Stegostoma tigrinum: one gene and its partners. The main gene of each other region encodes a partner of the protein of the gene in region 2 in a complex. Links are inferred from orthologs where the notes say so. Each region holds a gene or a part of one and is shown on either strand. Other genes may lie near its edges.

Region 1 (10,971 bases), on a different chromosome or scaffold from region 2:
GTGTAGCATTTCCTGCAGTTGCAGGGGAAGGTGCCGGGTGTGGTGGGGTTGGAGGGCAGTGTGGAGCGAACAAGGGAGTCACGGAGTGAATGGTCTCTCTGGAAAGCAGACGGGGTGGGGATGGAAAAATGTGTTGGGTGGTGGGGTCGGATTGTAGATGGCGGAAGTGTTGGAGGATGATGCGTTGTATCCGGAGGTTGGTGGGGTGGTGTGTGAGAACGAGGGGGGATACTCTTTGGGCAGTTGTGGCGGGGGCCGGGTGTGAGGGATGTGTTGCGGGAGATGCGGTCAAGGGCGTTCTCGATCACTGTGGGGGGAAAGTTGCGGTCCTTGAAGAACTTGGACATCTGGGATGTGCGGGAGTGGAATGCCTCATCGTGGGAGCAGATGCGGCGGAGGCGGAGGAATTGGGAATAGGGGATGGAATTTTTGCAGGAGGGTGGGTGGGAGGAGGTGTATTCTAGGTAGCTGTGGGAGTCGGTGGGCTTGAAATGGACATCAGTTACAAGCTGGTTGCCTGAGATGGAGACTGAGAGGTTCAGGAAGGTGAGGGATGTGCTGGAGATGGCCCAGGTGAACTGAAGGTTGGGGTGGAAGGTGTTGGTGAAGTGGATGAACTATTCGAGCTCCTTTGGGGAGCAAGAGGCGGCGCCGATACAGTCATCAATGTAACGGAGGAAGAGGTGGGGTTTGGGGCCTGTGTAGGTGCGGAAGAGGGACTGTTCCATGTAACCTACAAAGAGGCAGGCATAGTTGAGGCCGATGCGGGTGCCCATGGCCACCCCCTTAGTCTGTAGGAAGAGGGAGGAATTGAAAGAGACTTTTGTAAATTTCTTTTTTATTATTAATTACAACTCATTTTCCCATCTGTTTTAGTATCATCTGTAAATTTGACTATAGTACTTTCCATCCCCACATCCAATTGTATGGATTGGAGCTGAGGACTGAGCACCGTGGCTCCCTACCAGTTATGTCTTCCCAACCTGAAAAAGACATTTATTCTGACTCTATGTTTTCTGTTGGCTAGCCAATCCTCTATCCAAGATAATAAATGACCCACAACCCCATGTGACTTCCCTTGTGTATTAAGCTTTTGTGTGGCATTTTATGAAATGCCTTATGGAAGTCCAGCCTGGGTTCAAGTCCCACCTGCTCCAGAGGTGTGTCATAACATCACTGATCATTGACCCCATTTTTGAAAGATATCCAACTATCTCAGGGTGAAGTTGAAAGAGGCTTTGTTTCTTAATAGGTTCCACTTTATGCAAGTCGAACCAATGTGAGCCAACCATCATCCTGCCATGGGACATAGGTCTGAGGATCAAATTGTGACCTGCTCTATTTCAATCCCCATCTATAATGTTGCATTCAGAGCTGACCGACAAACAAGAAAAATAATCAGGCTCCATAGACAGTTTCAAAAGCAGAAATTGCTGGAAAGGCACAGTAGGTCTCACAGCATCTGTGAAGAGAAATCAGAGGTAATGTTTTGGTTTCAGTGATCTTTCCTCAGAGGAAGGATCTGACAAAGGGTCACTGAACCTGAAACTTTTTTTTCCACCAATGCTACCAGACCTGTTGTGCCTTTCCTGTAATTTCTGCTTTTGTAGACAGTGTTTCTGTGCAATTTGCCTGAACCCCAGTGCCAGGAATCTGAATTGTCAAAGAAATATCAGCTTTTCAAACAAAAATGGAAATCTTGCAGGTGATTATATGGTGTTCTAAAAGCGTGTTAAGGTTACTAAAAGAAAGTTAACCCTTCACATTAAACTGAGAGTAGAGCCAAGGCAAACAAGTCTCATACCTTGGCGTACGTTGACATTTACAGGTTAATGCTCAACCTGTTTGCTTGTGCTATGTGGTATGAATGCATCTTCCTTGACATCAACCCCTGGACTAGGCTTTAAACACAGAGCTCTGGTTCAATGGCACAGACCCTGCCAGCTGTGCCACAAGACTTTCTGGGTATCTAGTAAAATGTAAATGTCGGTGTGATATCGGGAAACTCTTCTTCATAAAAACGATTCAATTTATTTTCATTGATTTAACAACGAAAGAAGTAGTAGACTGAATAATTCAAACTGTTACAAACAATTTGAGGGCATTAGAATATCTTCCTTAGATGAATTATAATCATTAAAGAGAACTTTGTAAATCGTTATCCCGCCATCCTTTGAAGCAATAAACAACAAGAAGTTACACTGAAATACCGTTTCTCTCAAAGAAACGTTGCAAGGCGCTTTACAGGTGCAATACAAAGCAACGTATTGAATTATAAATGCTGCTCTCATTAGTATGGGAGACTATTTTCTCTAACACAAAAATATCTCGGTACAGATACCTCCTTACTATCGTAAAGCGCTCAGGATTTTTTAAAGTTGCTTGTTGATGTAAATTTGGGGATTGTGGCACAGTTGGCAGGGTCTGTGCCATTGAACCAGAGCTCTGTGTTTAAAGCCTAGTCCAGGGGTTGATGTCAAGGAAGATGCATTCATAGCACATAGCACAAGCAAACAGGTTGAGCATTAACCTGTAAATGCCAAAACGTAACATTCACTGCTGTCGCTCGTGTACTGCTGTTCCTTCACAGTGAGAACTTCATAACTCCAGTGCCATGTATTACCACTTCCTGCCACCAGGCTGCACTCCGCCTTCTCAGTTCCAGGATCTAAGTTTAAGTCGTCCAAGACCGTCTGCTGTTACAAAGTGTTCTTGTCTTGTTAATCAGATTTGTAAAGGACCTTGCCTTTTTAAATTTTTTTTACATTTAATACTGTACACACAGATCTCGCCAAAGTACATTCAGTTCGTATTTTTCGCCGAATTACCAATTCCACAGAATGTCTTTGATAGGATTAAAGATATCAATTTTTCTCATTTTTTTTACAGTTTGACGCAAATGTACATGGACTTAGCATGGAACTGTTTCAAACAATCGTTTATTGTGAGGCGGGATGGGGTGTATGTACAAGTGACTGATAATTTACATGTATCATTCCCAATGAGCTGTGTATCGGGTCCAACTGGTCGCTATTTCTAGCCCCGTGGCCCCCCACATCATACGCTATTTTAAAATAAGGATCTTACTCGCAGCCCAAAATACAAAATCGGAACAGACCTCAGATGTGCTTTATTTATATTTCACTTTGAATATGTTGCAGAACGATGTGTTCTTTTAAAAATAAATCCATCACCAGATAGCAATTTGCACATCGTAAAATTTTGAAAGCGACTCTTACTTATTGTGCTCGCTGTTAGTCTCATAATCTGGGCATATGTGTGTCCATACAAAGATAAAGCTTGGTATATGTAATCATCTTAGATTCTTGTAAAAGAGCCTGCTACTTCATATCTTCATAAAATTATCTTTCAAACTATTTCGGACGAAAGTGAACTTTTACAATTTAGCGTTCGCTTTACATCTTAACATTTTTCGGAGAAAAATAAACTTTCGGTGGAATTAAAGGTCAGTGGATAATGCACCAATAAGATTTACCATTCACAAAATTCTTTTTTTAAAAAAAAGACAAGGATTGTGCCTGCAACTGCATCAGAGATCCGTCTTACCTGTTCGTTGGAATGCCATAATTTACACACTTATTACATGATTATATTCTACTTACATTCATACATTTTATCGTAATTTTTTCAAGTTGAAATAGGTGTTGCCTGACACTTATTAGAAAAGGCACACATGCCTTTCGAGGTACACCGCAGTAAAACACATAGCTAGCAATTTTACTGGAAGTTGTTAATTAACGTTCCCTTATTTAAGCATTTCTATTATATATAGACACGCGCTCTGAATGTATAAATTAGGTGTTCGTATCCTTGTCTGACACTGTTTAAAAATAGTATTTGCTGATTCAGGACATTAATGGTGGCGCTGTCTGCGGTGAAATGTGACAGATTACAGCTAGCTCTGCGGTCTTACTCACCCCTGCAAATAGTGCAATGGAATTGCTGACCAAACTTTCTTTGCTGCTCAGAAAGTCAGAGGCAACGCTTCGTAAGTGAACCGAAACATGATGTTTGTTTTAGAATTAAAAGTGTCCTGGGTGCAGTTCCACGTGAAGTCCTTGTCGGGCAACTTGTGAGGATCCTCCTCAGTCTGGGCGCTTCTCTGTCCGCCGCTCAGTACGATCAATGTGTCCGCATCAGCCTGTATAAATGGGATCTCAGCTGCAGACCTCGCCGTGATCTGTACGTAAACATATCTCCATGGAGATAGAATCGTCAGACCTGTGGGCGGAAAGCCAACCTGTCAGCCTGAAGCTAGTAGCAACACCCCCTCTGCTGTCGGCACAAGCAAACAGCAGCAACTCCAGACCCAATGTCACCTTCGCCACCGGATACGGTCCAGCTCCTGCCTCCAATCTTCCCTTCAACAACTTGGCTTCCTCGTCTGCCTATCCTCACTTCAACTCGAGTATTCCACAGGAATGATCACAATTGAAGTTGCTTCGTGCAGGATTTTGGAAACTTTCTATTGAATCCAATAAAATCGGTTGGGTGTGAAAAGGGGGAAGAAATGTAAATTAGAGTCCGTGGCTATCAATCTTTTAGTTTCTAACATAGCAATTCTCACTACTTTTTTTGATGAAACTGATATTTTCCTTCTTTTCCGCGATTGTGTCGTTAAAGTTGCGAAAATTAAAAATAAGGGACGCGCTTTTCTTTTAAAACTGAGATGAGATTATTTTCTTAGAGTCAGAGGTTTGTCAGTGGAAATCGCTTTGAAAGTAGTGGAGGCTGGGCCTTTCAATTTACTCAAGGCAGTGTCAGATAAATCTTTGATAAACAAGGAAGTCAAGGTTTATGGAAAGCAAGCAGGAAAGTACAACCTGATCAACCATTATCCTATTAAGAGGCAAACAGCAGGTTGGAAGTATGAATAGCCTACGCTTGCTCCTGAGTCTGACACTGCTATTTGTATTTGAATTTGTTGTACATTTTCAGCAATATTTCACCTTTCCTGCCAATTCACCGTCTTTAAACCCAGCACCGGAGTTGACATTCCTTCCAGTGTTAGTAAATCAATAGTTGACATGTTGCAGATTTGACGATGATGAAAGCTGTTAGCAGTTGGCTTACTTAGCTGAGAAAAATGTGTTTTTATTTCAAATCAGCTGCACAGGAATGTAAAACTAATTATAAATGAGAAATTGATTCTTTTTCACCAGAACAACTTTGTAGCAGAGAATCTATATTATAAATGGATACAGCACTCACAAATACTGACATTCATGGGGAAATTTAAAATGTGGAAGTTCACTCACTTTTAACATGCGACTACACACCATGAAAACCACCAGATTAGAAACACAGGAATAGACAAGTCAACATCAGACTCTGTGCAAAAGTTTCATTGCTTTAAGTCAAACAAAGCAAAAAAAAATCTGCAGATGGCCAACAACTATTCTGATGGGTTGAGATAACACAATGTGGAGCTAGAGGAACACAGCTGGCCAGGCAGTATCAGAGCAGCAGGAAAGTTGATGTTTCACGTCAATAGATGATTAGAGAACAGAAGAGAGAAACCAAATTGTTTTCATCCAGACCAAGCTACCTGTTGAAAGTGCATCAGTTCATGACAGTCTTACTAGAACTGACTACAGTTCTATAGACAGAGCTACTTCATGGTACAACCAGCAAAACAGAGCTAAGCTCTGCAGTCCTATCATACCCAGTCATGAATGATGGACCATCACGGATTATTTCATGATTTTTAACAGTTTTGGTTTGGAACAGTGAGCTGAAATTGAGAGTTGAACTTTAGACAAGCAGCTTTTTTTAGAAAGAGCAATGAACAAAATTTCTGATATGGAAATTGGCTTTAAAAAATAATTGCAGCTTAGTTATTGTTCTCTGAATACTGAAGATGTTGTGGTACTGGAGATGTATTATGATATTAAAAAGGACAAAGGAAGGCCAGTGCCAGCCAGTCAAACAAAGATAAAATGACAAAAAAAAGCAACTATATATTTAACTGGTTTGGACTGGGTTTTGTATAGAAGGCAGTGTGGCTCTAAAAGCTGCTGGACAGAGTTTTGGTTGCTGTGTAGTCATTCTCTAATAGAATTATTGAAAGTTCTGAGAAAAGAACCCCAGTCTATGAGACTTAAGTAAGTGTCTCCAGCAGTTTGCGGAAGCTGAATAGATTGACTGGTGATTTTGGAATTCAAGTACAATGTACAGTCACGTGCCTGTGAACAACTCATTATTCAGGACTGCATGAAGACTTAGCAACCATTGTTAAAAACTGCTTAAGTGAACTGGCCAGTTACAACACTTTTATTTTCTTTCTAATTTAACCTTAATTGTGTTTGTCTGTCCATGTATGTGTGTGAGTGGGAATATGATCAAAGAAGATTGGGTTTAAATTTTAGACATTAATTAGATTACTTTGTTGTTTAACTGAGCTAAACTTGAGGTACTACTAATAAATTGTTAAACTTTGTTTAAACTATGAATTTAGTGTTCAATACCTGTTATTCATAAAATCTGGTTAGGAGCAATTCTGTGATTTTGAGGGTCATTGAATATTTTAATTTCACTGTGTTGCCATTTCCAATGTTGTTGAGTCTGATTAATCTGACTTATTATCCCTGTATTGTTACAGTGAATAGCTAAATCACTCCATGGAGAAGGAGGCTCCACAGTTTTCCTCATCCTCAATTACTGGGAATTATTGAGCTCATATTAGTGCAAAATACAAGTCTGAAGTATTTGCAACCATCTCAAGCAAAAAGTGCAGAGTGCTTATTCCAACTCAACCTCCTCCTGAAGTTTCCAAGATCTTAAATGCCAGTCCTCAGTTGATTTGATTTATTCCATGTAATGTAAAGGAGTGGTTGAAAGCATTGACTGTTACAAAAGTTATGGGCCCTGACAGCAATCTGGCAATAGTACTGAAAACCTATGCTACAAAACTGGCTGTGCCCCTAGCCAATTTGGTCCAATATATGGACTGCAGTGGGTGAAAAAGGCAGCTTACCACCATCTTCTGAAGGGCTGCTAAGGATGGGAAATAAATTCTGGCCATCCAGTGACTCCTATGTCCTATGAGTGAAAAAAAATAAATAAAGTACAGCACTGGCATCTGCTCAGCAATGTGGGAAAATTTCCCTGGTTAAGACTTGTCCACAAAAAAAAGGATGAAACCAAACCAGTCAATTACTGTTCATTGATCTACTCTCAATCATTAGTATACTGACAGAAGCCACCATCAAGATGCAATGAAGGAGCTTTTTCATCACAATAATCTGCTCATTGGTGCTCTTTTAGATTTAGTCAAGCCCTTTTCAAACATCTCCACACTGTATTCTAGTCTTGATCCAACATGAGCAAAAGAGTCGAAGTCCAGAAATGAGATGTGAGTCACTGTACTTGACAATAGCATTTAACCTAAAATGGTATCAAGGAGCACTTATAAAATTAGGCAATGGCAATCAGGGGAAAACTCTGCACTAGTTTGACTTATACCTAACACAAAGGAAGATGGTGCGATTGTTGGATGTCAACCAGGGAATGGCTATGGATCTCCATAAGGTAGTGTCCTAGACTTAAGCATCGTCAATTACCTTGCTTCCAAAATACTGTTGGGTTGCTTGCTGATGATAGTAATGTTCAGTATCAATTACAACTTGTCAGATACAGAGTAACCTGTACCATATGCAACAACATTTTGGTTTGATCTGATAAGCGGCAAATAATATTCATTCCATACAAATGCCAAGTAATGACCATCCAACAAAAAATGATCGAACCATCTTTCCTTGACATTCAAAAGCATTACTATTGTAGAACTACTTTTAATTATGACACCCTCCCTAATATTGTGTGGAATTATCATTGTTTAAGTGGGTTGGACACCCAACAGATTTAGCATCTCAAAATTAGGCACCCACGTGGTGCAGCAGCTATCATCAGCAGCAAAATTGTATTTTAACACAATCTGTAATGTTAGAGCTCACCAGTACTTTCCGAACTCAACCATAACTATCAAGCAAGGGAATCAACCTCAGTTCAATGAAGAGTGTAAAAGATTGTATCAAGACGAGGTATAACTGAATATGAGTAGCCTCACTGGTGAAGCTACAACCCAATGGAAGCAGCATGCTCTAAACAATGCTGTGCAATCCATATCAATCCCAGCCAGGATAAATAAAAATGAAGAAGAGACTCTGTAAACATGATCACGAAGCCCAGGGAGCATGTGGGAAAGATAAGGCTGAAGGATCTGCAACCATCTTCAGACAGAAGTGCTGAGTAGCTGATCCATTAAAAGCATCCAACTGAAATCCTCAGCATCACAGATGTCAGATTTTACTGAATTCACTTTGGTTCATGTGATATCAAGGAATGGCTGAACGCACCGGAGAGTGCAAAGGTGTTAGGCGCCACCAACATCCCAGCTGCAGTGTTGAAAACAAGTGCTCGAGATGGCTGATCAGAGATAATGGGAACTGCAGATGCTGTAGAATCCAAGATAACAAAGTGTGAAGCTGGATGAACACAGCAGGCCAAGCAGCATCTTAGGAGCACAGAAGCTGACACAGAAGCCCAGACCCTTCCAGGCCCGAAATGTCAGCTTTTGTGCTCCTGAGATGCTGCTTGGCCTGCTGTGTTCATCCAGCTTCACGCTTTGTTATCTTGCTCTAGACGGCTTGTGCCTACCACCAAGCTTTTCCAGTATAGGTGCCACACTAGCATCACACAGAAAGTGGAAACTTGTTCAGGTATATCCTGTTCACAGAAGCTAATTATCACCCCCCATCAGTCTGCTCTCAATTATAAGAACATATAAGCTGCGGTGGGCCACTTAGCTCCTAGAGCCAATTCCAGCATTGAAACCATCTGCAATCTAACTTCATATTACCACCTTCAACCCATAGTTTTGAATATATCTGAAGAGCAGGTGTGCATGCTGGAATGGATAGAGATAGAGGAAGCTGATGTGCTGAAAATTTTGTCAAACATTAAGATTGACAAGTCGCCAGGGCTGGACCAGATTTGTCCTCAGCTGCTTTGGGAAGGATCTTTGCATCCTCGCTCTCCACTGGAGTCGTACCTAAGGACTGGAGAGAGGCAAATGTAATTCCTCTCTTCACGAAAGGAAATAGGGAAATCCCCAGCAATTACAGACCAGTAAGTCTCATGTCTGTCGTCTGCAAGGTGTTAGAAAGGATTCTGAGGGATAGGATTTATGACCATCTGGAAGAGCATGGCTTGATCAAATGCAGTCAACACGGCTTTGTGAGGGACAGGTCATGCCTCACAAACCTTATCGAGTTCTTTGAGGATGTGACTAGAAAAGTTGATGAGGGTCGAGCTGTGGATGTGGTGTATATGGACTTCAGTAAGGCATTTGATAAGGTTCCCCATGGTAGGCTCATTCAGAAGGTCAGGAGGAATGGGATACAGGGGAACTTAGCTGTCTGGATACAGAATTGGCTGGCCAACAGAAGGCAGCGAGTGGTAGTAGAAGGAAAATATTCTGCCTGGAAGTCAGTGGTGAATGGTGTTCCACAGGGCTCTGTCCTTGGGCCTCTACTATTTGTAATTTTTATTAGTGACATGGATGAGGGGATTGAAGGATGGGTCAGCAAGTTTGCAGACGACACAAAGGTTGGAGGTGTCGTTGACAGTATAGAGGGCTGTTGTAGGCTGCAGCGGGACATTGACAGGATGCAGAGATGGGCTGAGAGGTGGCAGATGGAGTTCAACCTGGATAAATGCGAGGTGATGCATTTTGGAAGGTCGAATTTGAAAGCTGAGTACAGGATTAAGGATAGGATTCTTGGCAGTGTGGAGGAACAAAGGGATCTTGGTGTGCTAATACATAGATCCCTTAAAATGGCCACCCAAGTGGACAGGGTTGTTAAGAAAGCACATGGTGTTTTGGCTTTCATTAACAGGGGGATTGAGTTTAAGAGTTGTGAGATCTTGTTGCAGCTCTATAAAACTTTGGTTAGACCGCACTTGGAATACTGCGTGAGTGATAATGGGAACTGCAGATGCTGGAGAATCCAAGATAATAAAATGTGAAGCTGGATGAACACAGCAGGCTCAGCAGCATCTCAGGAGCACAAAAGCTGACGTTTCGGGCCTAGACCCTTCATCAGAGAGGGGGATGGGGTGAGGGTTCTGGAATAAATAGGGAGAGAGGGGGAGGCGGACCGAAGATGGAGAGAAAAGAAGATAGGTGGGGAGGAGAGTATAGGTGGGGAGGTAGGGAGGGGATAGGTCAGTCCAGGGAAGACGGACAGGTCAAGGAGGTGGGATGAGGTTAGTAGGTAGGAGATGGAGGTGCGGCTTGGGGTGGGAGGAAGGGATAGGTGAGAGGAAGAACAGGTTAGGGAGGCAGAGACTGGTTGGACTGGTTTTGGGATGCAGTGGGTTGGGGGGGAAGAGCTGGGCTGGTTGTGTGGTGCAGTGGGGGGAGGGGAGGAACTGGGCTGGTTTTGGGATGTGGTGGGGGAAGGGGAGATTTTGAAGCTGGTGAAGTCCACATTGATACCATTGGGCTGCAGGGTTCCCAAGCGGAATATGAGTTGCTGTTCCTGCTGCTGGAATACTGCGTCCAGTTCTGGTCGCCCTATTATAGGAAAGATGTGGATGCTTTGGAGAGGGTTCAGAGGAGGTTTACCAGGATGCTGCCTGGACTGGAGGGCTTATCTTATGAAGAGCGGTTGACTGAGCTCGGACTTTTTTCATTGGAGAAAAGGAGGAGGAGAGGGGACCTAATTGAGGTATACAAGATAATGAGAGGCATAGATAGAGTTGATAGCCAGAGACTATTTCCCAGGACAGAAATGGCTAACATGAGGGGTCATAGTTTTAAGCTGGTTGGAGGAAAGTATAGAGGGGATGTCAGAGGCGGGTTCTTTGCACAGAGAGTTGTGAGAGCATGGAATGCGTTGCCAGCAGCAGTTGTGGAAGCAAGGTCATTGGGGTCATTTAAGAGAC
Region 2 (10,200 bases):
ATTTTACACGCTTCCTACCTTGACAGAAAGCAGAAGTGGCAGGGATAGCAAGGCAAGTTAATTGTAGGAGGAACCTTATAAAATTGCCAACAATAGTTGCAAACCTGAAGATTTGGAGAATTTTACAATTCAGCAAAGAAGGACAAAGAAATTGTTACAAAAACAGAATGGAATGAATGTAAGTAGTAAGAAACATAAAACAGATTGTAAAAGCCTTTGAAGATAAATATAAAGGAAATAATTAGTAGAGATGAATGAGGGTCCATTATAGTCAGAGACAGATGAATTTATAAACAAGACAGAAATGGCAGAGAAACCAAATAAATACTTTTTGTCTGTCTTTACAGAAGAAGGCAAAAGAAGTTTCCTGAAATAATGAAGATCCAGAAGTCCAGTGACCAATTGTAGAAATGAAAGAAATTAGTGTTAGTAAAGTTATAGTATTTTGGAAATTACTCCGACTGAGAGTTGACAAACCCCTGGGGCCCAATAACCTTCAAACAGATACCTAGAGAGACAATAGATGCATTAGTGATTACCTTTCAAAAATTCTGCAATGGTGCCTACAGATTGGAAGATTGAAAATTTAACCAGACTATTTAAGAAAGAAAGGGGAGGGAAAACATCACAGCTTTATTGGCTTGCACCAGTAGCAGGTAAAATACTAGACTCTGTTTTAAAAAAATGCTTTTACTGGGTATTTAGAAAATGGTTGTCTGATTGGACAGAGTCAACATAGATTTATGAAGGGGAAATCAGATTTGACAAATGTGATGAAGATTTTGATGATGCTACTAGCAGATAACAAGTGGTTATGGGATATTTGGATTTTCAGAAGTCCTTTGATAAAGTCTCACATAGGAAGTCGGCAAACAAGATTAAAGTGCATGACATTAGGGATATTGTGCAGCAATGATTAAGTATTGGTTAACACACAGAAAGCTGACAGTAGGAATGAATAGTTAATTCTCAAGTTGGTAGGGTATCTCATTGCTTAGGCCCCAGCTGTTCATAATCTGTATCAATGATCTGGGGACCAATTATAATATTTCAAGTTTGCAAATGATTCAAATGGGAATTTGAGCTGTGAGGGGGGAGGCAATGTGGCTTTAAGAATCTTAGACTGAATCTGTACTCAAGAGCATGGTAGATGGAATATAACATTGATATGTAAAAAGTTTATCCACTTTGGTAGGAGCAACAAAGGTACAGAATATTGCATTAATGGTGTTGATTGGAAAATGTTGAAATCTAAAAAGACCTAGATGTCCTTGATCATAGGTCACTGGCAGCTAGTATGCATCTGCAGCAAGCAATTCAGAAAGCAAATCGACTGTTGGTCTTTATCCCAACAGAATCTGAGCACAGGAGTTAGAGGTTCTTGTTCAGTGTACATAAAACTGGTGAGACCACAACTAGATTATTGTACACAGTTCTGATCCTCTTGGCATAGGATTACAGTAAGGTTTACCAGATTGGTTTATGGGATGCTAAGACGGTCCGATGAGGAGGGATTGAGCAGACTGGGCCTGCATTCCCTGGAGTTTAGAAGACTGAGAGGTGATCTACGAGGTACTTACAAAATTCTTGAAGGGATAGACAGGTGTCAAGTAGAAAAGATGTTTCTTGAGGTCTCAATCCAGCAGATGTTGCCTCAGAATAAAAGCCAAACCATTTAACTTGGTGCAGGCAATTCAAGAAGCACTGTTTTGGCTTGGGAATTTAATTTATAGCCTGAGAACTATGTCCGTTATATTTATTCTAACTTTTTCCCAACTTGAATACAAGTTGCAACATGGAGAATTACATTTTTAAACTTTCCAACAATAAAAACTTGTTAGTCATGAGGCTAATAGCCTTTCCTTGGTTGTTGATTGCTAACATTGCAGCTGCCACTAAGCTCTTTTTTGAAATGATCCAAATGCTTTGCTAGATAGGAGTAGCAGTAAAACAGTTGATTCAGCACTATAGCGTTTAATAAGTTCATTTGGGTTCAGGATAATGCAGCTTTTTGGACCAGCAACAATGCCAGACCCACATCCAATATCTTGATTTCTTATTCATAGCATGATTATTCATAATCCAATTTTACATTACTCTATTACCAATGAATCCTGATGGGCAAAATTATCATGAGGAATCTGTTTAATCAATGGAAGCACAGACCCTAATTTTCCGACTCACCAATGTGAACAAAAACCTCTTATTTGCTTTGTACATGATGAAGGACTATTGATCCAGTCCAGTACATTGTCTAAACATGTAAATGTGGTGCCTGTAGTCACTGTCTAAGTGATTAAGATCTGAATGAAAAGCAAAATCACAATGGGCACACTTTTACATGGGTTAGTGACGGAGGGACAGCTTACCCAATGCATCCCCCACACCCCACAGCAAAGTCAGTGAGGAGTGGATTGACCAAGAAGAAAGCCACGCTGCAGCTGTAGCTATTGCACAGGAGGGGATAGGGGTGTTAGTGCTGGTGTATCAATTGAATTCGTGGATGAGACTGGGGCAGCTACCCATCACTGGGGAGAGGTCCCACCTCTTGAAGCTGCTGACCAACCTCATTAACTAATCGCTCCAGAAGTCAGTTTGGCTCCTGTCCACCTACCATGGTATGGGAGTGAGCTCAGAGATGGGTGAGAAAGGGGTGAGGTTGGCACCCTTCCAAATTTACATACCCACTCTGCCAAAAACACAGAGGTGCATGTAAAATTCAGACCATATCTTGCAATGCTTCCCTCTATGGTTCGCTTTGTGCATATCAATATTGATCTTTCTGTTGCCCATTCAGAGTATTTATGCCACTCAGTGTCATTTCCTACTATGTACATATCTCAGTCACTCAACATACAATCCCTTTGCATGTAGCTGTCAGTCAAACTATGCCTTTGTCAATGTGATATTCTGTAAGCACCTGTGATTGAATTGTTAACTGTCACTCTTACTCAGTACGTAGCTGGGTGTCAGTATTCTGCTAGATAGGTGTCATTCAGTTTATGCGGCTCTATATGTAACTGAAATTCATACTGTTTTATCCTTGTACCACTCATCTGATATGTACCTCTCTCTGTAACTTCTCAATCTCTTGATTCTTTCACTGTTTCTAAATTATCAGACTAGTTGTCTGACATCTAACAACAAAAATCACTTCCAATTAAATATTGGGAAGATTGAAACCATTGTCTTCAGTCACTACCACAAATTCCATTTCATCACGCTCTACGGCAACCATCTGAGGCTGAACCAAATTATTCATAACATTAGCAGAATATCTGACCTCAGTACCCGTTTCAGACTATATATCTGCCATCACCAAGACTGTCTGATTTCTAACTCCGTAGAATTACCACTACCTCAGCGCATCTGCTGGAACAGTGATCCACACTTTTGTTATTTCTAGACTCAACCAGTCTAAAAAGCTCCTGGCTTCCTTCCCACATTCCAAAATCTTAAGCTCATCCTAAATTCTGCAGTGTTCTTGCATTAGTCTTATTCATTCATCAATCCTTTATTAGCCAAATTGTACTTGCTTCTGATCAAACTACTCCCAAGTTTTAAAATTCAAATTTTTTTCAAATCCCTCCATGGCCTCTCTCTGGAATTGCCTCCAGACTCTCTATGTGTTTCTGACTGTACATTTCTGTCACTTTATTTCACTGTCAACTATAAATGGATCAAAGGATATAGGGCAAAGTCAGGAGCAAGGTATTTAATTGGATCATCAGCCATTATTATTCTGAATGGCACAGCAGGCTTGAAGGGCTGAGTGGCCTATTCTGGCTCCTATATTCTATGGTTCTATGTCAATGTTTCTACATGGTGGCTCAGTGGTTAGCACTGCTGCCTCACGGCACCAGGGGCCCGGGTTTGATGCCAACCTCAGGCGACTGTCTGTGTGGAGTTTGCACATTCTCCCCATGTCTGCGTGGATTTCCTCCCACAGTCCAAAGGTGTGCAGGGTAAGTGGATCGGCCATGCTAAATTGCCCATAGTGTTGAGGGATGTGTAGATTAGGGGGATGGGACTGGGTGCGATGCTCTGAGGGTCAGTGTGTAGATCTGTTGGGCGAAGGGCCTGTTTCCACTGTAGGGATTCTATGATTTTCTACTTCTACGATCATTTTGAACTGTCACATTGTCTATGTTTTTGACTGTAGCTTTTTGCATATTTCAGGCTGGCACTGAGTATTGTCACTCTCTATATTTCTAACTGTCACTATATATGTACTTGAGGCTATCCATTTCTATGTATATCAATCTGGCACTTTCTGTATATTTCAGGTAGTCCTTTAAATGTCAGCTATGTACCCAGAGGTTATCACTCACTCTTTACATTACTTACTATCATTGACTATGTATTTGATGGTCACTGTACATTTTGGACTGTTCTTCTCCTTACATATTTTAGACCACCCCTCCCTGTATTTCAAATGTATCTTTATAATTCAGACTGTCCCTCTCTATGTAAGAAGGATCTCTATATTACAGGAGATTTCTTTTTATATTACTACAGGGACCTTTACATTCCAGAAGTCTCTCTCTTTATTAACAAAAGGTACCTACATATTTCATACTGTCCCCTCTCTGCATTGTAGGCGGATCTCTGTATACGCCACACTATCCCTCTCCATGCATTTCAGATAGATCCCTATATTACAGACAGTTTGCTCTCTCCACCACATACTGCATCCTGTCTGGACTCCCCAGATTTCAGACTGTGCCAATTATATTCCTTCTGCAACAGTATTCCAGATCGCCTCAATAGTATTCCAGACTACCCCTCCCCTCGACAGTCCAGGCACTCCCACATATTCCAGACATTTATATTCCAGACACCCCTGTATTACTCATGTCCTCCCGACAATCCAGGCCCCTTCATGATATTCCAGTCCTCACCATTTCCAGACTCCCTCCTACATCCAGACCCCTACATATTCCAACTCGTACCCCATATTCCAAAGATTACTCTTTCCAGATCCACCCCTATAATCCAGACTCCCCCAATATTTCAACCGTCCCTAAACTCCACATCTCCCCTTATACCCGAATCCACTATATTTCAGTTACGACCTATGTTCAGTCCCCCTTACATTCCAGATGTCCTCTACATTTCAGTTCTGCCTACTAAGAGTCCAGTCCGTACCTATAATCCAGATGCCCCCTACATTTCAGTCCCTCCCTGTATTCCACATCCACCCTACATTCTCATCCCCCATATTCCAGTCCCCACAATTATATTCCAACTCCCCACTTTATACTAGATCCCCTCTCTATTCCTGTCTTACTATGTTCCAGTGCTTCCTTATATTCAATCCCCTATATTCCAGTACTTCTCTATATCCCAGATGGCCCTACATTCCAGTCCCCAATGTTTCAGTCCTTGTCAAATTCCAGATCCACCCTATATTCTCAACGCCAATATACCCGTACCTACACCTTTATTCCAGTCCTTCCTTAAATCCCCACTCTATTCCAGTTCCTACTATGTTCCAGTACTTCTCTATATTCAGTCCCCAATATTCCAGAACCTCTCTGGACTCCAGATCCCCCCCATATTTCAGTAAACCCCTAGATCCCAGATCCATCCTATACTCTAATCCTGCTATATTCCAGTTTCCCCAATTACTTTTCAAATCCCTACTTTATTCCAGCCCCTCTCTGTATTTCAGATTAAACCTACATTCTAGTCCCCCTATACTTCAGATCCTCTCTCATATTTCAGTTATTTCAGTTCCTTCAAGTTACTCCCTATGTTCAGTACCACCTACCATCCAAATCCCCCTCCCCTTTATTTCCAGTCCTCTTCTATTCCTGCACTCCCATTTTCCAGATTCCTTTCTATTCCAAACCACTACATTCCATGGTCCCACCACCCCCATATTCCAGTCCTCCCTTTATCCCAGTAGCTCTCTCTCTTAGGATCAGGTGTGGAGCTGCAAGAACACAGCAGGCACGGCAGCATCAGACGACCAGGAATTCCCGATGTTTCGGGTGTGGACCCTCCTTCAGAAATCTCCTCTCTATTCCTATTCCCACCGCGCCCCCATTCCAGGTCCGCCCTATATCTACAATACTACAGACTTATTTCTCACTCACTGCCAAGGCGTTCCCACCGATGACGTCACCGCAGGTCGCCCGCTTTGGGGTCGAAGGTCATGAATGGGCAGCGCCAAATGATCCCTGCACCCAACAGTAGCTTTAATCTGACACTCACAGAAAGAGGTGTTTCTTCACACTTCACACGATACGGAATCGCAGATGATTTTCGCGGCAAGTGGGAATGGTTGTCACGGTTTAGAGCAATGATTTCCGGCTGTGGAAAAGGCCCCCGGGCAGTGTAGTTTCCGCTGACGTTGCGCTCTGGAAGATGGCGTCTTCGGCCAAACGGCGGCAGCTGGATCCGGCAGTAGAGGAGTCTAGGGGAAGTGGAACGGAGGAAGAGTCTGGGGACAGTAGTGAAGAGTCGGAGCCGGAAATACACCAAGTGAGAAAAATAACGGTCGACCCAACCGTCACCGCCCGCGAGACGGGTTTAGAACCCGAGCGCGCGCAGCCACTGGGGAGGTGGGGAGCACAGAGAGCGGGAGAGACTAGAGGATACAGGAGGTGAATTAGGCCATTCAGTCCATCAAATCTTCTCCAACATGGCCGATGTCTTTCTCAATCCCATCCTCTTGCCTTCTGTTCTCCCCATCGCCATCTCCGCCTCAAGAGGTAGCAAGAACTGCAGATGTTGGCGTCAGCGAAAATACAGCGTGGAGCTGGAGGAATACAGCAGGCCAGGCAGCATCAGAGGAACAACTTTCCGGCTGCCCTGGCTCCCTGTGTTCTTCCAGCTCCACAGTATTATCCCCACAATAACCCTTCATCCCCCTTACTAATCAACAACCTATCTGTTTCTTTTCAAGAGTGAGAGAGACTCAGGACGGAAGAGAAATGGATATGGACACAAGTGGAAAAAGTCAGGGTAGATAAGATGGAGTAGTGGAGATTGGGTGTGTTGAGGGAAATGGGAAATGGGAAAGGGTAGTGGGGCAGAGGAGAGGGTAAAATTGTATCAGAGATAATGGGAACTGCAGATGCTGGAGAATTCGAGATAACAGAGTGTGGAGCTGGATGAACACAGCAGGCCAAGCAGCATCTCAGGAGCACAACAGCTGACGTTTTGGGCCAAGGCCCTTCTTCAGAAAAGGGGGAGGGGGAGGCAGATTGAAGAAGGATAGAGGAGAAGATAGGTGGAGAGGAGACAGACAAGTTAGAAGGGCAGGGATGGAGCCTGTAGAGGTGTGTGCAGGTGGGGAGGTAGGGAATGGATAGGTCAATCTGGGGAGGACGGATAGGCCAAGGGGGTGGGGTGAGGTTAATAGGTAGGAAATAGAGGTGCGGCTTGAGGTGGGAGGAGGGCATAGGTGAGAGGAAGAACTGGTTAGGGAGGCTGGGATGAGCTGGGCTGGTTTTGGGATGCAGTGGGGGGGGGGAAGAAGGGAGATTTTCAATCTTGTGAAATCCACATTGATACCATTGGGCTGCAGGGTTTCCAAGCGGAATATGAGTTGCTGTTCCTGCAACCGTCGGGTGGCGTCGTTGTGGCACTGCAGGAGGCCCCGTATGGACATGTCGTCTGAGGAATGGGAGGGGGAGTTGAAATGGTTCACGACTGGGCGGTGCAGTTGTTTATTGTGGACCGAGCGTAGGTGTTCTGCAAAGCGGTCCCCATGCCTTCACTTGGTTTCCCTGATGTAGAGGAGGCCACAACAGGTACAGCGGATGCAGTATACCACATCGGCAGATGTGCAGGTGAACAACTGCTTGATGTGGAAGCCCGCCTTGGGCGTGGGATGGGGGTGAGGGAGGTGATGTGTGGGCAAGTGTAGCACTTCCTGGGGTTGCAGGGGATAGTGCCGGGCGTGGTAGGGTTGGAGGGGTGTCTGGAGCAGACAAGGGAGTCACGGAGAGAGTGGTCTCTCCGGAAAGCAGACAAGGGTGGGGATGGAAAAATGTCTTGGTGTTGGGGTCAGATTGTAGATGGTGGAAGTGTTGGAGGGTGATGCGTTGGATCCGGAGGTTGATCGGGTGGTATCTGAGGACGAGGGGGATTCTCTTTTGGTGGTTATTGCAGGGACGGGATGTGAGGGATGAGTTGCGGTGAATGCAGGAGGCATGGTCGAGGATATTCTCGAACACTGCGGGGGAAGTTGTGATCCTTGAAGGATGAGTTATGTCTGGGATGTACGGGAGTGGAATGCCTCATCCTGGGAGCAGATGTGGCGGAGGTGATGGAATTGGGAATAGGGGATGGAATTTTAGCAGGAAGGTGGGTGGGAGGAGGTGTATTCCAGGTAGCTGTGGGAGTCGGTGGCCTTGAAATGGATATCGGTTTCTAGATGGTTGCCTGAGATGAAGACAGAGAGGTCCAGCAAGGTGAGGGATGTGTTTGGAGATGGTCCAGGTGAACTTCAAGGACCGCGACTTCCCCTCCGCAGTGGTCAAGAATGCTCTCGACCGTGTCTCCCGCATTTCCCGCAACTCATCTGTGATTCCCTTGTCTGCTCCACACTCCCCTCCAACCCCACCACACCTGGCACTTTCCCCTGCAACTGCGGGAAGTGCTACACTTGCCCACACACCACCTCCCTCAACCCCATCCCATGCTCCAAGAAGACCTTCCACATCAAGCAGATGTTCACCTGCACATCTGCCGATGTGGTATACTGCATTTGCTGTACCTGTTGTGGCCACCTCTACATCAGGTAAACTAAGTGGAGGCTTGGGGACTGCTTTGCAGAACACCTATACTTGGTCTGCAATAAACAACAGCACCTCCCAGTCACGAACCATTTCAACTACCCCCCCCTTTCATTCCTCAGACAACATGTCCATCCTGGGCCTCCTACAGTGCCACAACAATGCCACCCGAAGGTTGCAGGAACAGCAACTCGTATTCCGCCTGGGAACCCTGTAACCCAATTGTGTCAATGTGGATTTCACAAGCTTCAGAATCTCTCCACCCTCCCCCCTCACCACCACTGCATCCCAAAACTAGCCCAGCTCGTCCCCACCTCCCTAACCTGTTAGACCATAAGGCCATAAGACATAGGAGTGGAAGTGAGGCCATTCAGCCCATCAAGTCCACTCCGCCATTTAAATCATGGCTGATGGGCATTTCAACACCACTTCCCTGCACTACCCCCCGTAGCCCTTGATTCCTTTTGAGATCAAGAATTTGTCGATCTCTGCCTTGAAGGCATCCAACGCCCCTGCCTCCACTGCACTCTGCGGCAATGAATTCCACAAGCCCACCACTCTCTGGCTGAAGAAATGTCGTCTCATTTCAGTTTTAAATTTACCCCCTCTAATTTTAAGGCTATGCCCACGGGTCCTAGTCTCCCTGCCTAACGGAAACAACTTCCTAGCGTCCACCCCTTCTAAACCATACATTATCTTGTAAGTTTCTATTAGATCTCCCCTCAACCTTCTAAACTCTAATGAGTACAATCCCAGGATCCTTAGCCGTTCATCATACGTTAAACCTACCATTCCAGGGATCATCGCTGTGAATCTCCGCTGGACACCCTCCAGGGCTAATATGTTCTTCCTGAGGTGTGTGGCCCAAAATTGGACACAGTATTCTAAATGGGGCCTAACTAGAGCCTTACAAAGCCTCAGAAGCACATCGCTGCTTTTATATTCCAACCCTCTTGAGATAAACAACAACATTACATTCACTTTCTTAATTACGGACTCTACCTGCAAGTTAACCTTTAGAGAATCCTGGACCAACACTCCCAGATCCCTTTTGCACTTCTGATCTGCGAATTTTCTCACCGTTTAAATTGCCTGTATTTTTTTTTTCCAAAGTGCAAAACCCCACATTTACTCACATTGAATTTCATCAGCCATTTCCTGGACCACTCTCCTAAACTGTCTAAGTCTTTCTGCAGCTTCCCCACCTCCTCAGTACTACCTGCCCGTCCACCTATCTTCGTATCATCAGCAAACTTCGCCAGAATGCCCCCAGTCCCTTCATCCAGATCATTAATATACAAGGTGAACAGCTGTGGCCCCAACACTGAACCCTGCGCGACACCACTCGTCACCGATTGCCGTTCCGAAAAAGACCCTTTTATCCCAACTCTCTGCCTTCTGTCAGACAGCCAATCCTCAATCCAAGCCAGTAGCTCACCTTGAACACCAT
Region 3 (10,006 bases), on a different chromosome or scaffold from region 2:
CGGCAGCTGAAATTCCATTCAATATTGTAAAAAAAAGTTGGTAATTTCAGCCTGTCGTGTTGCTACACGTGTTACAATTGTGTTGCTACATGTGCTATTAACTGGAATTCGTGCAAATTCTTCATCCCTTTGCTCCCCCTCCTCCTTACCAGTTCTCAACCAAATCAGAAAAACACATTGAGGCTTCATAGTTTGCAGCCTCTACTACCAATTTCCACTTAACAATTTGGCAGAGTAGTTTTAAGCTATCTCAATATTAGCTGCAACACTGCTTTTTAAACTCTTTCTTTACCAGTTTGATATCGTGGCAGTGATACGTTTTGGAACCAGTTTAGGTCTCCTAAATCTTTTGCTTTCCCACTCCCAATCCCAATGCTTGAAAGAGAGTTATCTAATGTTGTGGTTTTACAGACTTGCTCTTTACAAGCGATGTCTACAAGCCTCCCACAGTAGTGTTGATCCTAATAAAGGATGACTCACTGCTGAAGAATGGCTTCCATGGGAACTCCAAATAACTGATAAGAATGAATGTACCACATCACCAGCTGATCCTATCTCCCCAATCCTTCTCTACATGCTTTAGTTCAAAGGCAAACAGGCAGCTGCGAGGTGTACAGTGATTCTGACAGATATGTGCTACTTCTGATTTGCATCTACTGCTACCGACTGAGGAAACAAATCTTTCCTTTGCATGATCAATCACTGGGGTAATACACTGAACAAACAGCAAGATACATGCCATTCAATGTCGGGCAAAGAAGGTATTTCCCCACCTCCCTCAAGTAAACAATGTGCTGTATTTCAAGCAGTTTGTCAGGTCCTGTAGAATGTATAAGTGACGTGCAACAGTAAACACAAGTTCTTGATAAAGCAAACAAAGGGCACGGTTGAGTTCATTCTGTTGCACATTTTTAAGCCTACCTCTCTCAATAGAATGTGCTTATTTCCAAGTAACAGACGATGATTGTTTTCAAAATTAACTGAACATTTTTTTTAAAAAATGTGCATTCAAAAACCAGTACAACTCTTTCCCCACTGCAAATTGGGCAAGACTTCTCCTAGCTCCTGATTGTAAGAGCTCAGAATGCAAAGTTCTTCTCCCCCTCCTGGCTCAAAACTCTTACAATTTTCAAACATGTTATAGGAATGTTTTAATGGATCCAGGTATAATAAACTTTGGCCAAAATGCACACCAATAAAGAGCAAATTTGGAACACATGGTAAACTAGAATTGGAGATTAAAGTATTTTAAAGAGATTAAAGGACAGGCACAATCTCCTGCTGGCAGTCACTTAAACAGTTCATTCATCAATTTACCATAAACTTCAATCTCCATTTTTAAGCATATTTCTGAACTGGAGAACAGTGATAGAGGTGGGGGTAATGGTAATACCTGGACATACCATGTTTTGGTTGCAGTGTTTAAAAAAAAAACTACATGCCTATGCAAAATGACAGCTGTTGTTGTCATGGGTCAAATAACTGATAGCAGACCCTTCCCTCAGTATACAACAGGCAGGTCCCCCCACCCCCCTCCCACCAATATGCCTAATCAGAATCCAGATTGAATTGTCACTTTCCGATTCAACTTCCATTGGCTTGTGCTCAAGTATTTCCCCGACCTTTTTAGGTTAGTCAGGTGTCAAACACTTCATTTGGTTTGCAGCCCTAAATCAGGGGTTTTTTTTGGTGATTTTGTTCCTCAAAATTGTCATATAAAGTAAAGTAATCACGTGATCTTATCATAAACTAGATTAAGAATAACACATTTGGATATGATTAATGAAGTGCTGGGACAGCCAACCTGATCATACACAAGCCCAGTTATGAGCAACTCAGGTGTATCCCATCCTCATTTCTAGGAGGATTCAATTGGATTACTTATCTGACTTCACAATTAGGTTGGTGTTATAAGCAAACTACAAGATTTCACAGTTCTCTCTCACCTGTATATATCCCCAGACATCCAACTGTGCTTTATTTAGTTCATAAACTCAAACGCAACTGTGGCACATGACATATTATACCTTTTCTGAGTGAGGAAACAAAGTGCCAAGGAACCTCTTATTATAAACTGGAAAATATAAAGTACTTTGTTTAAACACTTACCTAAGTGCTACACTGTCCAAGACAATACATACTTTTAAACTATCACATAAACAGCAACTTTTTTCTGAAGTACAAGTATTTTCCAAGAAAATAGGGAATTTAGTAATTCGTGCAAGAACACGTTCTTTTTGTCCCTGATAAAGAAAAATGTGGATTAAGCCACAAGATTTGAATACAGTATCTCCATTCCCATTCGTATAGATAATAGGCACTTTTGATTCATGTTCATGTAGACAAATATAAATTAGCCACATCTGTTCTTGTCCATGGGTTTTTTTTGTTGATATACTGTACATATATAAAACGAAAAATATCTTTGGTCCTTGAACATTATATTAGCCAAGCGTTCTGCACACTTTCACGTCCAAAATAAAAGTGAAGTGTACGCTCTCTGAAACCAGGAGCCGCGGATAGCACAATAGCGACTTCTGTCGTCATCTGATAATAATCCTGCATCCTGCGTCTGGAGCAAAACCATTAGAGTTTAGAAAGCACTCAAAAAAAAAGCATGCAACTGCGAAGAAGCAGTTTCACTTGGTGTATCATCCCATACATGGCGATCGCAAGCCCCCAAATGCAACCGGTCCCCCACCCTGTTTACAGAAGGCAACACGAGACGGACCTCTAGGTTTCAGCTTCTCTGCTGTATGAATTTATCGGAGAACAGGCAAGGGAAAATCTGAGCCTCTCCTTCACCCCCAAATCAGCATTTTTTGTTAAAAGGGGCTGGTCAGTCCCGACCACAAGAGTGTACGGGTGCTGAATTCCCATGTTGTCATTGTAGGATGACAGCCAGAATGGGAGAGGTAAAGCCAAAGCAAAAAACAATGTTTGTCATTTTGTTTTTTTTTAAAAAGAAGCATTTTAAAGCTGCCATACCCACCTCCTGGCTCGGGGTTAAATCGAATGTGATTTTACTCCCCTTCCCCTCTCTCAAACAGTTTCGATCTGCCTCAACTAGAGGGAAAAAATGCAGGCGAGCTATTTTTTTTTAATTAAAAGTTAAGCTCTGAAGAGTTGAGCAGATCAGCATTGCACTAAACAAGACAGGGCAGGGTCGAACTTTCTAGTGTGTGTGTGTGTGTGTGTGTGTGTATATATAGTGTGTTTCTCCCACCCCGATCCAAACCACAAAGAAAGGTGCTGTGCCCTCCCCATTGCGTTCTCACCCTCTGCTCTTTTTGCCCCTTTTGTCCGTATCACAGCAAAGCCTTCTTGCCTTCCTTTCAGTTGCAGGGCAGCCAGGTGGAGTAGGTGTGCTGCTGGCAGGTAAACACCGGCTGCACATGGGCGATGTAGTAGTTGTTGAAGTTGGCGTCGGTCACGTAAGGAGCCGGCTGGTAGTAGCAGGTCACATTGGCCACATTGGGGATGATGTTCTGCTCAGCCAGGACCCGGAGGGCCAGCATGGTGATGAGGTTCAAGGTCTGCCTCCTCTCGTGTCCCATCAGGCAGACGGTGCTCTCGTTGACCACCCTCTGTAGGGTCATCAGATAGTCATACTTACGGTCCTCCAGGCCCAGGAAGTGGTTCTGCAGGTAGGACTCCAGCTTCCTCTGCTGCTCGCCGATGTCCGAGAAGTCGATGAAGAAGCGGGAGCACATGTACCGCTGCAGCGCCTTCATCTCGCTCTCGGAGGCCGCCCGGAAGCCCCGCACCAGCAGGTTGCAGTACTTGAGGAGGCCGCCGCCGCGGATCTCCTCGGGGTTCCTGGTGGCGATTACTTTGTGCTGCAGATGCTCCAGCGCCTCCTCGAAGTCGCCGTAGACGCTCTCGCCCAGGATGGTGGGGTGGAAGTGCTCGGACATGGGGTGCTCCGAGCACTCATAGAAAAGCAGCAGCGAGTCCAGGTTAATCTGGAAGGCGTCCACGCTGAACTCGAACTGGCGCCGCAGCGAGTCCACGAACTTCAGTTCGACGTTCTTGCCGCTGTTATTTGACAGCGAGATGAGGCTCCAGCGGTCCGAGTCGTTGCAAACTTTCACCATCTTCTGCACATAGGCTTCCTTCAGGGTCAGCGGGGTAATCTTCTCCTTGTTCACGCCCTCGGGCAAAAAATCCAAGAGGCAATCCAGCACCACGTTCTTGACGGTCTGAAACTCCTTGTCCCCGCTCAGGTCAGCCCGGAAGATAAGGTCCAGGTCCTTGTAGCCCAGCCCGCTGCGTTGGTGCAGGACGTGACTAGCCGCCGAGCCGTTCAGCCTCACATCCCGCACCCGGATCCGCTTCTCCTCCAAGCGGCTCCGCACCACCTGCACGATCTGCCGGGGCTTCAGCTCCAGGGTCGGGAAGTTTCCCCGCCCGTGGATCGGGATCGTCTCTGTCAGGATCCTGTCCAGCCGCTGCACTTGCTCCCAGTTCAGAACGTTAAAACTACTGCATTTCGTGTTGGCATTTTCATCAGCCATTGTAATGTGCAGGCTCACTTCGTCAGAGAATGACAGAGAGGGGGAGAGATTTATTTTATTATTTTACAGACGTGATCAATTTCTTATCCTCCTTCTCTCTGCTTTTTTTTAATTCCCTCGTCTGCGCGAGCCGCAAAGCTCTAGCTATCTGCGTATTAACTCTCCCATTAGTTTTTATATGGCTTCTCCGTGCAGTTCCGGTAGTGAGTCACGGACATGGCACGCCTATTATATTTGCATAAATTGCTGAGGCCTGGCGCTCGCTCGCACCTTAAACGACTCAAAATAATGCACATTGCTTAAACTTTTAATATTTTTCTGCCCGTCCCCCACAATCAGTGTTTTCCGGGAATGGAGTGGGCGGGGGGCTAGGGTTTCCAAAATGAAGCTGGTGGCAAGTGAGGATTGAAAGGACCCTCTTCCTTTTCTCGCACCAGCTCCCTCCCCATACCCATTTCTTCCATGAATGTATCAATTCTCAGCAGCTGGAGAGCTGGGTGGGCGGAGACACGCTGATTGACAACTGTACAGGCGAATAGGTAGCTGGCGCCCGCCTAGTAGTGGCTCCGTACGGCCAATCACCGCCGGCTAGGGGCGGGGCTCCTCGCGAGGTGTAATTTACTGTCCCAGGGAAATTCAATGAAAAGTGAAGGCTGCTGTGTGGCTAATGTCAGTGAGGAATTCTATTCCAAACAGCTGCTTGTCATCCTGCACCCCAGCCGACAAACCGGACTTTTAAATATATCACTTATTTAACAACCAACAGGATTTCTCCCCTCAGTGCTGGGAATTCTGGAGTTACCTATAACCTTCGAGCCCGGGGGAACCTGTTGGGTTAGGGCTGCTGACATGAAAGACTTCAAACGCGAGCGATTCATTGTGAAGATTACAGTAATTCATTTCCACTGCACAAGACCCTGTCATTTTACACACCCTGATTTTAATGAGACCCTTGTATTTTCCTAACCAAATGGTGGTCTTTCGAAAGAAATAAGTGAAAAAAACCGGCGAAATGTTAATTGCTGTTGTTAACATAAGTTGCATTTGACACCGCGACTGGATATCTCGACGGTGCAAATGATATTGCGATCGGTAGGGAATAATTTCGCCAGTATTTTCTTGAAGCTCGTTTCGTATTTCCCGTGAAGTCGAAGTCAGCTGTGTGTGCGCGTCATTTTAAATGTAAAACTGCTTGAAGCACTTTGGAATCCTACCAGACACTGAGACCCGGATAAAGTAGATTATCGGAAGTTATGCCTGTTCCGAAGGGATTTGACCAGTTTAAATATATCTCCCACATATCTTATAAATTGCAGCCTGTGTAACCGAACTGCTTTAAAAACCAAGCGAGCAAAAATGTTTAAAAAAAACGTGACTGCACGAATGTTGCAAGTTGTACAGTCTGTCTGGGGCAAGTGTCAGTGTAGCGTGCTAACTGCGCCTCCTGTTGGCAGTACTACAAATAGCGACAGTCCGCAAATTAACAGTAATCATTCCCAATCTCTGTTTTTGTTGTTTCAACGAAAATAGCCGTTGCAGACTGAAATAAACAGTACAAACGACGGTTAGATGAAATATTTCGATGATCCTCATTTGTGGCCTTTCCGGGAGCAGAAGTAACTCTGTTCCCGTTACAATGGGTTTTGTGTCCAACAGCCAAACTCATGCAATGTAAAACGAGTTGCGGAAAGCAGTAAACGGATTTGTTAGAAACATAGTACACTAAATTTTAAGGATATATCAACTTAACACATATCTCTGATTATTTACAATCCTCTAATTGGTAGTTGAGCAGAGCTCCATACCTCGGAAGAGATTGGTAAAGCCCTAATGATCAGGAAGCAGCAGTAGGTCGGAAAGACATAACACAACGTGCCACAATCAAATGCAGACCCATTAATCTTAATCCCATATAAATTAACATAATTCATTATCAGAGGTAATTTTCAGAATAATTCTATATAACAATAACCCGGTTAATATTAATCAGCTTAAATACCGACCAGTCCCCTGACAAGGAACTCGTCCTCACCCTCAACCGCCTAGCCGAACTCATCCTCACCCTCAACAACTTCCACTTCCCACAGACTAAGGGGGTGGCCATCGGCACCCGCATGGGCCCCAGGTATGCCTGCCTCTTTGTAGGTTACGTGGAACAGTCCCTCTTCTGCACCTACACAGGCCCCAAACCCCACCTCTTCCTCTGTTACATTGATGACTGTATCGGTGCCGCCTCTTGCTCCCCAGAGGAGCTCGAACAGTTCATCCACTTCACCAACACCTTCCACCCCAACCTTCAGTTCACCTGGGCCATCTCCAGCACATCCCTCACCTTCCTGGACCTCTCAGTCTCCATCTCAGGCAACCAGCTTGTAACTGATGTCCATTTCAAGCCCACCGACTCCCACAGCTACCTAGAATACACCTCCTCCCACCCACCCTCCTGCAAAAATTCCATCCCCTATTCCCAATTCCTCCACCTCCGCCGCATCTGCTCCCACGATGAGGCATTCCACTCCCGCATATCCCAGATGTCCAAGTTCTTCAAGAACCACAACTTGCCCCCCACAATGGTCGAGAACGCCCTTGATCGCGTCTTCCGCATTTCCCGCAACACATCCCTCACACCCCGCCCCCGCCACAACCACCCAAAGAGGATCCCCCTCATTCTCACACACCACCCCACCAACCTCCAGATACAACGCATCATCCTCCGACACTTCCGCCATCTACAATCCGACCCCCACCACCCAAGACATTTTTCCATCCCCACTCCTGTCTGCTTTCCGGAGAGACAACTCTCTCCGTGACTCCCTTGTTCGCTCCACACTGCCCTCCAACCCCACCACACCCGGCACCTTCCCCTGCAACCGCAGGAAATGCTACACTTGTCCCCACACCTCCTCTCTCACCCCTATCCCTGGCCCCAAGATGACTTTCCACATTAGTCAGAGGTTCACCTGCACATCTGCCAATGTGGTATACTGCATCCACTGTACGTGGTGTGGCTTCCTCTACATTGGGGAAACCAAGCGGAAGCTTGGAGACCGCTTTGCAGAATACCTCCACTCGGTTCGCAATAAACAATTGCACCTCCCAGTTGCAAACCATTTCCACTCCCCCTCCCATTCTTTAGATGACATGTCCATCATGGGCCTCCTGCAGTGCCACAATGATGCCACCCGAAGGTTGCAGGAACAGCAACTCATATTCCGCTTGGGAACCCTGCAGCCCAATGGTATCAATGTGGACTTCACCAGCTTCAAAATCTCCCCTTCCCCCAGCGCATCCCAAAACCAGCCCAGTTTGCCCCCTCCCCCCACTGCACCACACAACCAGCCCAGCTCTTCCCCTCCACCCACTGCATCCCAAAACCAGTCCAACCTGTCTCTGCCTCGCTAACCTGTTCTTCCTCTCACCCATCCCTTCCTCCCACCCCAAGCCGCACCTTCATCTCCTACCTACTAACCTCATCCCACGTCCTTGACCTGTCCGTCTTCCCTGGACTGACCTATCCCCTCCCTACCTCCCCACCTATACTCTCCTCTCCACCTATCTTGTTTTCTCTCCATCTTCGGTCCGCCTCCCCCTCTCTCCTTATTTATTCCAGAACCCTCACCCCATCCCCCTCTCTGATGAAGGATCTAGGCCCGAAACGTCAGCTTTTGTGCTCCTGAGATGCTGCTGGACCTGCTGTGTTCATCCAGCCTCACATTTCATTATCTTGGAATCTCCAGCATCTGCAGTTCCCATTATCACTGATACAAATTATAGGGTGAGTTGTTTTATGAAGGATTGGAGAGGCTATACTTGTATCTGTTGGAAGTTTAGAGATGACTTGTTCGATACACACAAAAAACCTGAAGAGTCTTGACAGGGTGCATGTGGAAAAGATCTTTCCTCCACTGGGTGAATGTAGAATGTAGGGGTTACTGTTTAAAATTACCGGCCACCCATTTAAGATACAAATCAGAAGAATGGAACCCACATTATGGGAGGAATGTGCTCGTGCTGGGGAGAGTGTAGAGGAGATTTACCAGGATGTTGTGGGCTGGAGAATTTCAGTTATGAAAATATACTGGATAGACTAGGGTTGTTTTCTGGAGATTAGAAGAGTTTAGAGGATACATGTTTGAAATGTATAGAGTTATAATGGGCATGGATAAGGTAGGCAGAAAGAAACATTTCCCCTAGGTGGAGGAATCAGTGATCAGGGGACATTAAGTCATAGCACAGAAACAGACCCATCATTTCAATTCATCTGCATCAATCAGACATTCCAATCTGACGTGGTCCTGTTTGCCAGCATTTGACCATATCCCTCTATTCACATACCCATGCAGATGTGTGTTAACTGTTGTAATTGTACCTCCCTCCACCACTTCTTCTGGCAGATCGTTCCATGCAAAACCATCCTCTGCATGAAGAAGTTGCCCCTCGAGTCTTTTTAAATCTTTCTTCTCTCATCTTAAACTTATGCCCCCTTGTTTCGGACTCTGCAGTGCTGGGGAAAAGACCTTGGCTATTCACCTTATCCAGCCCCCTCATGATTCTGTAAGCCTCTATAAAGTCACCCCCTCAGTCTCCAACGCTCCATGCAAAACAGTCCCAGTCTATTCAGCCTCTGCCTACAGCTCAAACCTCCAAACCCAGCAACAGAAGGGCCGAATGGCCTACTCCTGCACCTATTGTCTATTGTCATTCTTATAAATCTTTTTGCAACCTCTCAAGTTTAACAATACCCTTCCAATTATATGGCTGAGGCACATCTGTTTATATAAAATTGGAGATGAGCAATTGTTGGTTGAATTCAAATTTGTGGGCACTTAGGAGCAAGTTCTGAACAAAGTGTGAGCTTATAATCCTTAGCAGAGTTAGAGTAGGAGCAAACGTTTAAGTGAGGAGTTCCTTGGGAACCACTGTTGCAAATACAATTATTCTAATGTACATACATGAAGCGATTGTAGAAATTTAAAAGCAAGGTCTGCCATATGGGTGGCATGGTGGCTCAGTGGTTAGCACTGCAGCCTCACAGTGCCAGAGACCCGGGTTCGGTTCCAGCCTTGGGCAACTGTCTGTGTGGAGTTTGCACTTTCTTCCCGTGTCTGCGTGGGTGTCTGCACTAGGTGCACCAGTTTCCTCCCACAGTCCAAAGATGTGCAGGCCAGGTGGATTGGCCATGATAAATTGCCCATAGTGTCCAGGGGTGTGTGGGTTATAGGGGAATGCATCTGGGTGGAATGCTTCAAGGGGTGGTGTGGACTTGTTGGGCCAAAGGGCCTATTTACACACTGTAGGGAATCTAATCTAATCTAATCTAAACCGGAATTGTACGCAGTATTCCAAATGTGACCTCAGCAATGTCCTCTACAGCCACAGCATGATATCCCAACTCCTATACTCAATATCCTGATCAATGAAGGCCAGCGTGCCAAATATCATCTTCACAACTCTGCCTATCTGTGACTCCACTTTTCAAGGAACAATGC

The links.
Region 1: the proteins of bccip (region 2) and tent5c are in contact, whole or in part, in a cryo-EM structure (PDB 8EQB), measured with the Homo sapiens proteins. The link is inferred for Stegostoma tigrinum from reciprocal best matches to the Homo sapiens genes BCCIP and TENT5C. Residues at the interface, in NP_510868.1 of Homo sapiens: Val57, Asn58, Ile59, Glu60, Phe61, Glu62, Ala63, Tyr64, Ser65, Arg136, Gln146, Cys153, Lys155, Ala204, Gly205; in NP_060179.2 of Homo sapiens: Asp90, Asp92, Glu102, Gln106, Arg109, Lys135, Glu136, Val139, Gln140, Lys141, Leu142, Val143, Lys144, Val145, Cys146, Thr147, Asn164.
Region 3: the proteins of bccip (region 2) and tent5aa are in contact, whole or in part, in a crystal structure (PDB 8EXE), measured with the Homo sapiens proteins. The link is inferred for Stegostoma tigrinum from reciprocal best matches to the Homo sapiens genes BCCIP and TENT5A. Residues at the interface, in NP_510868.1 of Homo sapiens: Val57, Asn58, Ile59, Glu60, Phe61, Glu62, Ala63, Tyr64, Ser65, Leu66, Gln146, Val149, Leu150, Phe152, Cys153, Glu154, Lys155, Asn156, Cys157, Glu158, Lys159, Glu163, Lys167, Leu203, Ala204, Ala206, Thr225; in NP_060103.2 of Homo sapiens: Arg87, Gly88, Asp139, Glu151, Gln155, Lys158, Lys184, Glu185, Val188, Gln189, Lys190, Met191, Val192, Lys193, Val194, Cys195, Asn196, Asp199, Trp201, Asn213, Arg289, Lys295, Glu331, Arg334, Gln341, Asn342, His343.

The regions. Positions count from the first base shown.
Region 1 is NC_081365.1:38,338,857-38,349,827, reverse strand, and holds the start of tent5c (terminal nucleotidyltransferase 5C), read right to left. Parts: upstream 4,192-10,971; 5' UTR 3,939-4,191; intron 1-3,938. UniProt on the Homo sapiens protein: Catalyzes the transfer of one adenosine molecule from an ATP to an mRNA poly(A) tail bearing a 3'-OH terminal group and enhances mRNA stability and gene expression.
Region 2 is NC_081373.1:31,760,339-31,770,538, forward strand, and holds the start of bccip (protein BCCIP homolog), read left to right. Parts: upstream 1-6,145; 5' UTR 6,146-6,372; coding exon 6,373-6,489; intron 6,490-10,200. UniProt on the Homo sapiens protein: During interphase, required for microtubule organizing and anchoring activities. During mitosis, required for the organization and stabilization of the spindle pole.
Region 3 is NC_081357.1:38,176,351-38,186,356, forward strand, and holds the start of tent5aa (terminal nucleotidyltransferase 5A), read right to left. Parts: upstream 4,802-10,006; 5' UTR 4,518-4,801; coding exon 3,336-4,517; 3' UTR 1-3,335.